Nothobranchius furzeri: one gene and its partner. The protein of the gene in region 1 binds, or shares a complex with, the protein of each later gene. Links are inferred from orthologs where the notes say so. Each region holds a gene or a part of one and is shown on either strand. Other genes may lie near its edges.

Evidence for each region.
Region 2: the proteins of nedd4l (region 1) and amot are in contact, whole or in part, in a crystal structure (PDB 7LP3), measured with the Homo sapiens proteins. The link is inferred for Nothobranchius furzeri from reciprocal best matches to the Homo sapiens genes NEDD4L and AMOT. Residues at the interface, in NP_001138439.1 of Homo sapiens: Lys202, Asp204, Leu206, Arg208, Tyr210, Val212, Asn213, His214, Arg217, Thr218, Thr219, Gln220, Trp221; in NP_001106962.1 of Homo sapiens: His235, Arg236, Gly237, Pro238, Pro239, Pro240, Glu241, Tyr242, Pro243, Phe244, Met247.

The regions. Positions count from the first base shown.
Region 1 is NC_091746.1:58,544,911-58,548,739, reverse strand, and holds part of nedd4l (E3 ubiquitin-protein ligase NEDD4-like), read right to left. Parts: intron 3,741-3,829; coding exon 3,681-3,740; intron 3,443-3,680; coding exon 3,335-3,442; intron 1,291-3,334; coding exon 1,194-1,290; intron 963-1,193; coding exon 890-962; intron 1-889. UniProt on the Homo sapiens protein: E3 ubiquitin-protein ligase that mediates the polyubiquitination of lysine and cysteine residues on target proteins and is thereby implicated in the regulation of various signaling pathways including autophagy, innate immunity or DNA repair.
Region 2 is NC_091750.1:44,152,387-44,155,826, reverse strand, and holds the end of amot (angiomotin), read left to right. Parts: intron 1-750; coding exon 751-884; 3' UTR 885-2,716; downstream 2,717-3,440.

The DNA of each region.
Region 1 (3,829 bases):
AGCTCAAAAGAAAATCCATTTCAAAATAAACTTTCTTCCAACGTGACTGAGTCATTAGACTGTTTTGTGATTATTTCAGTGTAAAATTCCTAATTATTTACCAAAATATTACAAGGAAAAGACCCACAAGGGAGGCAGCTACTGCTCTAATAGTGGTAAACATGGGCCCCATGATTTCTGCAACGCAGACAATATAGAATCGTATAAATTAAAATTACCATAAAATGTGGAAAGTCGCAGAATTTGTTGATAACTTGATGCAAGCAAACAAATCCCTGAGTTTTATAAATTTCTTTAAGACACTTCACAATAAAGTTCACAATAAATGTGAGACTGCATTTGGCTGCTGAGGTGGTCTGTTGCAGGCATCCAACGTTAAATCTCTGCACCAACATCCAACCAAGGTCTACGATTCTTTTAAAATATTAAATTTCAGTAAGATTTCTTGAGCCTGGAAGAAAATATACAACAACCACAACAATCAATAATAAAAATAAAGGTTTTGAAACAGCTGGAGGCTCGGCTGAAAAACTCCAGAAGAAACTGAGACATCCTGAACATCAGCATCAGTAAGTCAAATAAAACACAAATATAAGAATTACAAGTATTGCAAAAATATGATTGCAATAATAACAACCAATTTAACGATATTTTAGTGTAATGAAATGTTCTTTTAATTTTATCCAAAGGAAAGGTTGTTTCTTCCCTCTCATTTTAATTCTATTTGGAACAAAAAGTGTGACATTTTTTATTTCATTATTTACAGGCATCACAATAATAAATATAAAAAATGTAAAATCCTTCCATTAAACCGTTGGCCATGTTTTTGCTATAATGTAAGCAAACATCCATTTGAAAGACAACTGTGTGAAAAATTGTGTTGTGTTACCATGTGTGAGCTCTTGGCAGCTTGTCTGGTGTTCCCCACTGCTCAATTGTAAACAGCTGAGGTCCATTAGAACCTGGAATAAAAGGAAGATTGTTTAGTTGACTCCTCGCATTAAAAAGCTACATTCCAGTACAAACACTTCATTTTAATAATCCCTTTAAAATGAATTCTTTCTTGGAAATCCAGACTTATGAGGGACCAACAGGGCTGATAAATCTATGTTGAAGGTTTAGGGCAAGCAGCAGTTTATTAATACTAAATAAAAAATCTAATAAAGAGAAAGTGATATGATGAGGTCACGCACCGTAAAGCTCAGCAAAACCATTCATGGGCACTCGTGATGTTCCCGTAACAAACTGAAGGAGTCGGATTCTCTTCTCAGCGTCCATCAGAAGAACAACCTTAAAAGAGGAAAATAAACACAGATTCATTTAAATGGTAAATGGTAAATGGCCTGTATTTGATATAGCGCCTTCTAGAGTCCTGGAACCCCCCAAGGTGCTTTACAACACAATCCGTTATTCACCCATTCACACACACATTCACACACTGGCGGGGATGAGCTACAATGTAGCCACAGCTGCCCTGGGGCGCACTGACAGAGGCGAGGCTGCCGAGCACTGGCGCCACCGGTCCCTCCGACCACCACCAGCAGGCAACGTGGGTTAAGTGTCTTACCCAAGGACACAACGACAGCGACAGACTGAGCGGGGCTCGAACCTGCAACCTTCCGCTTACGGGGCGAGCACTTAACTCCTGTGCCACCGTCGCCCCAACGCAAACATTATCAAAGAAAGTGTTTTTCTTTTTGGTAGATCACAAAGTAATTTCAGTACTCGGTTTATTTCTATAGCGCCAAATCGCAACAAGAGTCGTCTCAAGGTACTTCACAAAGTAAACATTCCAACACAGTTCAGCTCATTAAGCCAATCGGTAAAAAGTGTCCTACATAAGGAACCCAGCAGACTGCATCGAGTCTGACAAAGGCTCTGGCGTTCAGTTTGGCAGACTTAGCTTAGCGGTTTAGCATTAACTGTTGAATGATTCTTTCTTTGTGTTTTTAGTTCATGTTCAAGAGAATAGTATCTGTATATGAGAAGAGGTTAGGTCGACCGATATTGGTTTTTCTATTTCTGAAGCCGATACGTAGGAGACACGATCAGCCGATGGCCGATACGTAGGAGACACGATCAGCCGATGGCCGATACGTAGGAGACACGATCAGCTGATGGCCGATACGTAGGAGACACGGTCAGCAGATGGCTGATGTGTACTGCTGATTGTTATGGGTTTCCATGGCCGATGTCTAGACATTTTCTACCCTATCTTCATGCTAAAATGTCACTAATAACATCAATTGATGCAGAACATTCCTATAGCTGAATCCATTTTTGAAATTGAATTTTCAAAATTGAAAAATGTAAATGCCATTTTGTGCACTGCTCAGTGTTAAAAGTCAGACACATAAATAAAGTTAATTAGAATATTTATTATGCAAATGTTATTAATGATTCTAAAAAAACATTGGAATTAAATTCTGCAACAGCACCGGGCTGCTCGAGGATGTGCCTGAATTTAAATCGGCTTTACTAAGGACAAATATCGACCAATGTATATATAAAAAAAAAACAATAAATATCGGCTTCTAGTCTCAAATTCGAATGCCAAACTTGGCTTCAGCGTTCCTTCGTTCTGCTAGAGTCAGTGTACCTTCATTACGATGGCTGAGGTTTAGGAAACCAAACTAGCCGACGTTCTGTGTCACCGTGTCCTGATGAATCTAAAAGTGATGGCCCGAAATCAAACAGAAGTACGTTTGATGTGTGTGAGTACGTTAACGCTCCAGTCGAGATGATAACTAGGGCGGGTAATACTTTAAGCTCTTGCATCACAGCAAACAAGCCTGTTCTTTCAAACAGACTTTGATCTTCTAAAGTCAGGCCAGGAAATCAAGCCGGACGCTTACAGCCATGACCGGGACCCGGAGTTTATTGGGAAATATTCAGATTTTTGAGCTATTTTACATTTGACTGAATGATAAATAGTTGCATCTCAGATGTCAGAGGTGCTTGAGTAGATATGGAGTACACTGCAGTGTTTTACGTCTGTAGTCTCCTTGCTTATTTCCTTCACAGCTCAAGACCTAAACTAACAGATGGTGGTCTGTCTCCTGATGCAAGAGTTTTTACACAGGACTGGTTGTTTTCATTGAGGTGACCTATTCAAACATAAAAACGTTCTAAAAAGTAAATGTTCAGTCTTATTGAAGTCAGAGGGATCTCTTAAGTTTCTAAACGAGCCTTTAAAGTTTTAAATCCTGCTTAAATTGTGTTTAAACTTCACAAACTAACTTTATCATTTTCTAGTGTAAACACAAATCCAGTGTTTAGCTTGTGTGTCTCTACTGGATGTGGTTGCGAGTGCGTGTGAGGGTAGGTAACAAACCTTCCAGAACCACTGGATCACCGGATGGTTTGGGCAGTAGCCGTTCTTGTAAATAGTGTGTTGTCTCCAGTCGTTGACATCAACATCACCCAGTCCACACATCAGCAGCTTCACACACAATTTATTCACAGTCAGTCACACTTTCTGTACAATAATACCACATAATCATAGAGGAGTAACAGAACATCTCATTGGTCCAAAAACATGTAAATAAAATGTCTTCATCAAACAAGGTAAATATAATTGAGTAATAATTTAAAACATATCAAAGAATAATAATCTTGTTTGGATTTAATAATAAAAAAAGCCTCCACTTTACTTTTTATTTAAAGGTACGTGTCCATACCTCCAGCTCATTTTCATCAAAGATCTTGATCAAATCGATGGGAATGAGTTCTGTGAAGCCCTGAAAATAAAATGATTAATAAAATGATTAAAGTTGTAAATCAGTTAAATAAACATAAGGGTAAGGTTTGGAAACCAAGGTTAGTCTGT
Region 2 (3,440 bases), on another chromosome or scaffold:
GTTTCTGTTGAGTTTTAATGTTTAAAATCTGTTAGATTGTTACTGACAGCAGCTACGTTTAAGTTTCACTTCCTGTTCTGACTGAACGCTGCTGCAGCATGGAGGTGTGGTTCTCAGTAGGGATGTCCCGATCGGGTTTTTTTGTCCTCGAGTCCGAGTCATCAGGAGGAGGTCTGAAAAAAGGCCTCGGAACCAAAAAGACAAATCTGACCTGTGTGTGAAACCAAATTCCGGGATCGAGCTGACGCTAATGTGTAAACGCCATTACACACATGTGCAAACAAACACACACACACACTACTTGTATAGAGAGAAGACCGATTCCCAGACTGACTTATTGTTCCAACCAAACTTTATAACCATTCAGCTAGTGGTTAGCATTTTGGTTGTACTCACTACTCTGGCTTCTCCATCAGGTGGTCTTAACATTTAAATATCGTCTGTTTAAAGAAGTAATCCGTCTGAAACCCCACTCCGGTACTGGCGGATGTTCAACAAGCAATCGGTGGACTGTCACATTCTGGCTGAGTTTTTTAGCACTCCTGAGGTTAAAATCCAACCATTTCTACCATCGAAACTCTTCTGGAGTTAGCGACACGTTTTACTGATCAGATGTTGGAGACTTGAGGCCTAGATACCAGCCCACTGTTGGGCTGTGTGTTTTATTTACTCCCTGGCCTACTGGATGGAGTTTTGTGTTTGATGCTGTTATTAGAACTTTACATTTAGGATGTTTATTTGTTTGTGTAGATGTACCTGCTTTTCACAGCAGCACGCTGGAGAGAAGGTTTCCTGTCCAGGCCCTGGTGCTGCCGCCAGCTCCTGCTTCAGCTCCACCACCACAACAGGAGGTGGACTCAGACGTGGTGGAGATCCTCATCTGAACTCAAGAAGAAAACAGCAATAAGTGATCAGATGGCAGCTTCATTCCAAATCAACGTGGTTCTGATTTGTCTTTATCCTCCACGTCTTAGACACCGATCCGCCCGGCGAGACTCCTCTGGTTTAGTTGTTTTTGCTGCATTTATTTAACATTTGCACCCTGATCGGGGACAAAAACGCAACCACCACAGTCCTGTTTCATCTCAGTTTTGTAGTTTGCAATAATGAAATAATACAGGTCATAACTTCTTATTTATTGGCTTTTTAGATGCTTTTTCCTTTAGTGCTTCAACAAAACTAGATCAATGGTACCGGGGTAGGGTCCCCACAATGATTCCTACAGATCCTGAGCACAGACCAGGCACCAGACGTCTTTCCACTCTGAAGCTTAAAGGGTAAATGTTTACAGCTTCTGTGTACCTCTTTTTTTCCTACGTAAACCTGACAGCGGGTACTGTTTATGTGAAATTCTTGGTACTTGCAGGACTCTGAAACTCTGCATGCTCATCAGCCCTGTGTACCGCCGTGATAGCAGAAATCTTAATCATCTAATCATTGCAGCTACATTAACCTCCTTCTGTTGGGTTGATATGGTGTTCATTAGAGCTGGAGTTTGGGAAACGGATACTAAACCTGACTTTGGTCATGTCTTTGTGCTCCATCTAACCTCTGGAAATACTGCAGACCTCCATACCCTTCCGTCTGCCACACAGTAACCCTAACCCAGCAGCAGCAATGTTACTTTGCAGAAACTTCCTTCAGCGTCTGAATCCAACTGCTTCTCCAAATCATGTGGCTTTGGTAAACAATCTGTAACGTGGAGGAATGTGTGTCACCTGCCACCTTCATGCTGGAGTTTTATTAATCTGCTCTTTGCTAACTCACTAACATCTGTTTATTCTCTTAGCTCATGTGTAATTTAATCAGATTGTTTATCAACACACTCAGTGTAACGGAAAAACCGTTTGATTTGATCAGAGAACAAAAGCCTCAGTTTGGTGACAGTGTTGTTAGTCTGGGTGCGTGTGTGTGAGAGGACAGCGAGCAGAAATGTTTTCATCAATCCAGAAATCCACGTTTGTGAAGCCTAAACCTCTGCAGACCTGGAGCATGCAGGGCTGAGTACGCCTCAGCGTTGGAGCTAGTAGACCGTCAGGTTGGACAGGATGACTCTGAGACCTGGGCTTCAGCCTATTTATGCAAATTACACTTTCTGTTTACTGTCTTGAGATCATTTCAGTTTTTTCAGCTCCATTTAAATTAGAAAAGTGGACGGAAAGCCATTCTTCACCTTACACCTGTATAAAAGACATTATCCTTTTAGCGGCTGCAGTACACAATAATGTAGCTAATGTATGTTTTTCATTGTTGTTGGATTTACTTTTTATTATCGCTGCACAATCAGCCACAAACCCAGCACAGCTCTTACTAAACAGTTTAGAGGATTTACCCCTAAAATCTCCACAGGGAGAAGGAAGGCCAGGCAGGAAGTGTAGCTACACGCCTAAACTCGGTTATCGGAGCAAAGAAATGTAGGTGTAGTACACCGAAGTTAAAATAAACCAATAACCGAAAAGCAAACTTGCACTACAGTAGCTGGTCCAGCAGGTGGAGCAAAGCAAAACACATAAAAATGAAGTTCTCCATCTGTACATGTGACTGCTCTGGAGATGAACACATGATGATCATGTGATGTCCAGAGCTCCATCAGCGGTAGAGTGACCCTTTGTTAGCGCATAACCAAACCCTGTTATGGTTTTATTCGTTTACAATAATGTATGTGTACTTCCTGTTACATTCTTAATGCCTTAAATAAAATAGCACTTTGAATCAACTCGGTTGTTTTTTAATGTGATCAATAAAGTTTAACATTATGTGAAACGTTTCTGTCTGCTCTCAGAGGTCTGACCCAGACATATGTCTCCAGACGAAGCACATTCTGCGGAAAGCCAACGTAACAAACATGTTGGCTAAACGACGTGTCGAAGGGCTACACCAGAGTAGACGAGGGTCAAAGCGGAGGTCACCAACACCACTATACAATAAAACGTATCTGAAGTTTGCTGAGATGTTTTTAATCACAAATGCATTAATATAGATCTAAAAACTACAATATTCTTTAAAAACAAATTATGTTTATTATACACAAGGGTTCGGTTTAATGCTGATCCATTCCAGTTCAAAGGCCAGTGTTGTACCAACCTGGTGGCCCTTCGTATAGCTCAGTACCCAGGAAGTGGCTCTCAGCTATACAAAGGTTGGTGACCGCTGGCCTAAAGCTTTGATCTGCTGCAGCAAACCAAACGTCCAGCTGATGGAATCCGAGTTCTCGTAGGAACATTTCCTAATTAAATTAAATAACAGCTGATCAGGGATTAAATGCTAAAGGGACGACCATCGCTGCTTTCCTGTCTCTTTAGGATAGAAGCACTGGTCCAGTCATTACACACCAGTACAATAAAGAGTTCATCTTTTATTTTTAAACTCTGGACAGTTGTGTTCCTGTTAATCTTTCTGAGCTGCATCACAATGATGATCCAGCATGTTCTCAAGGAACC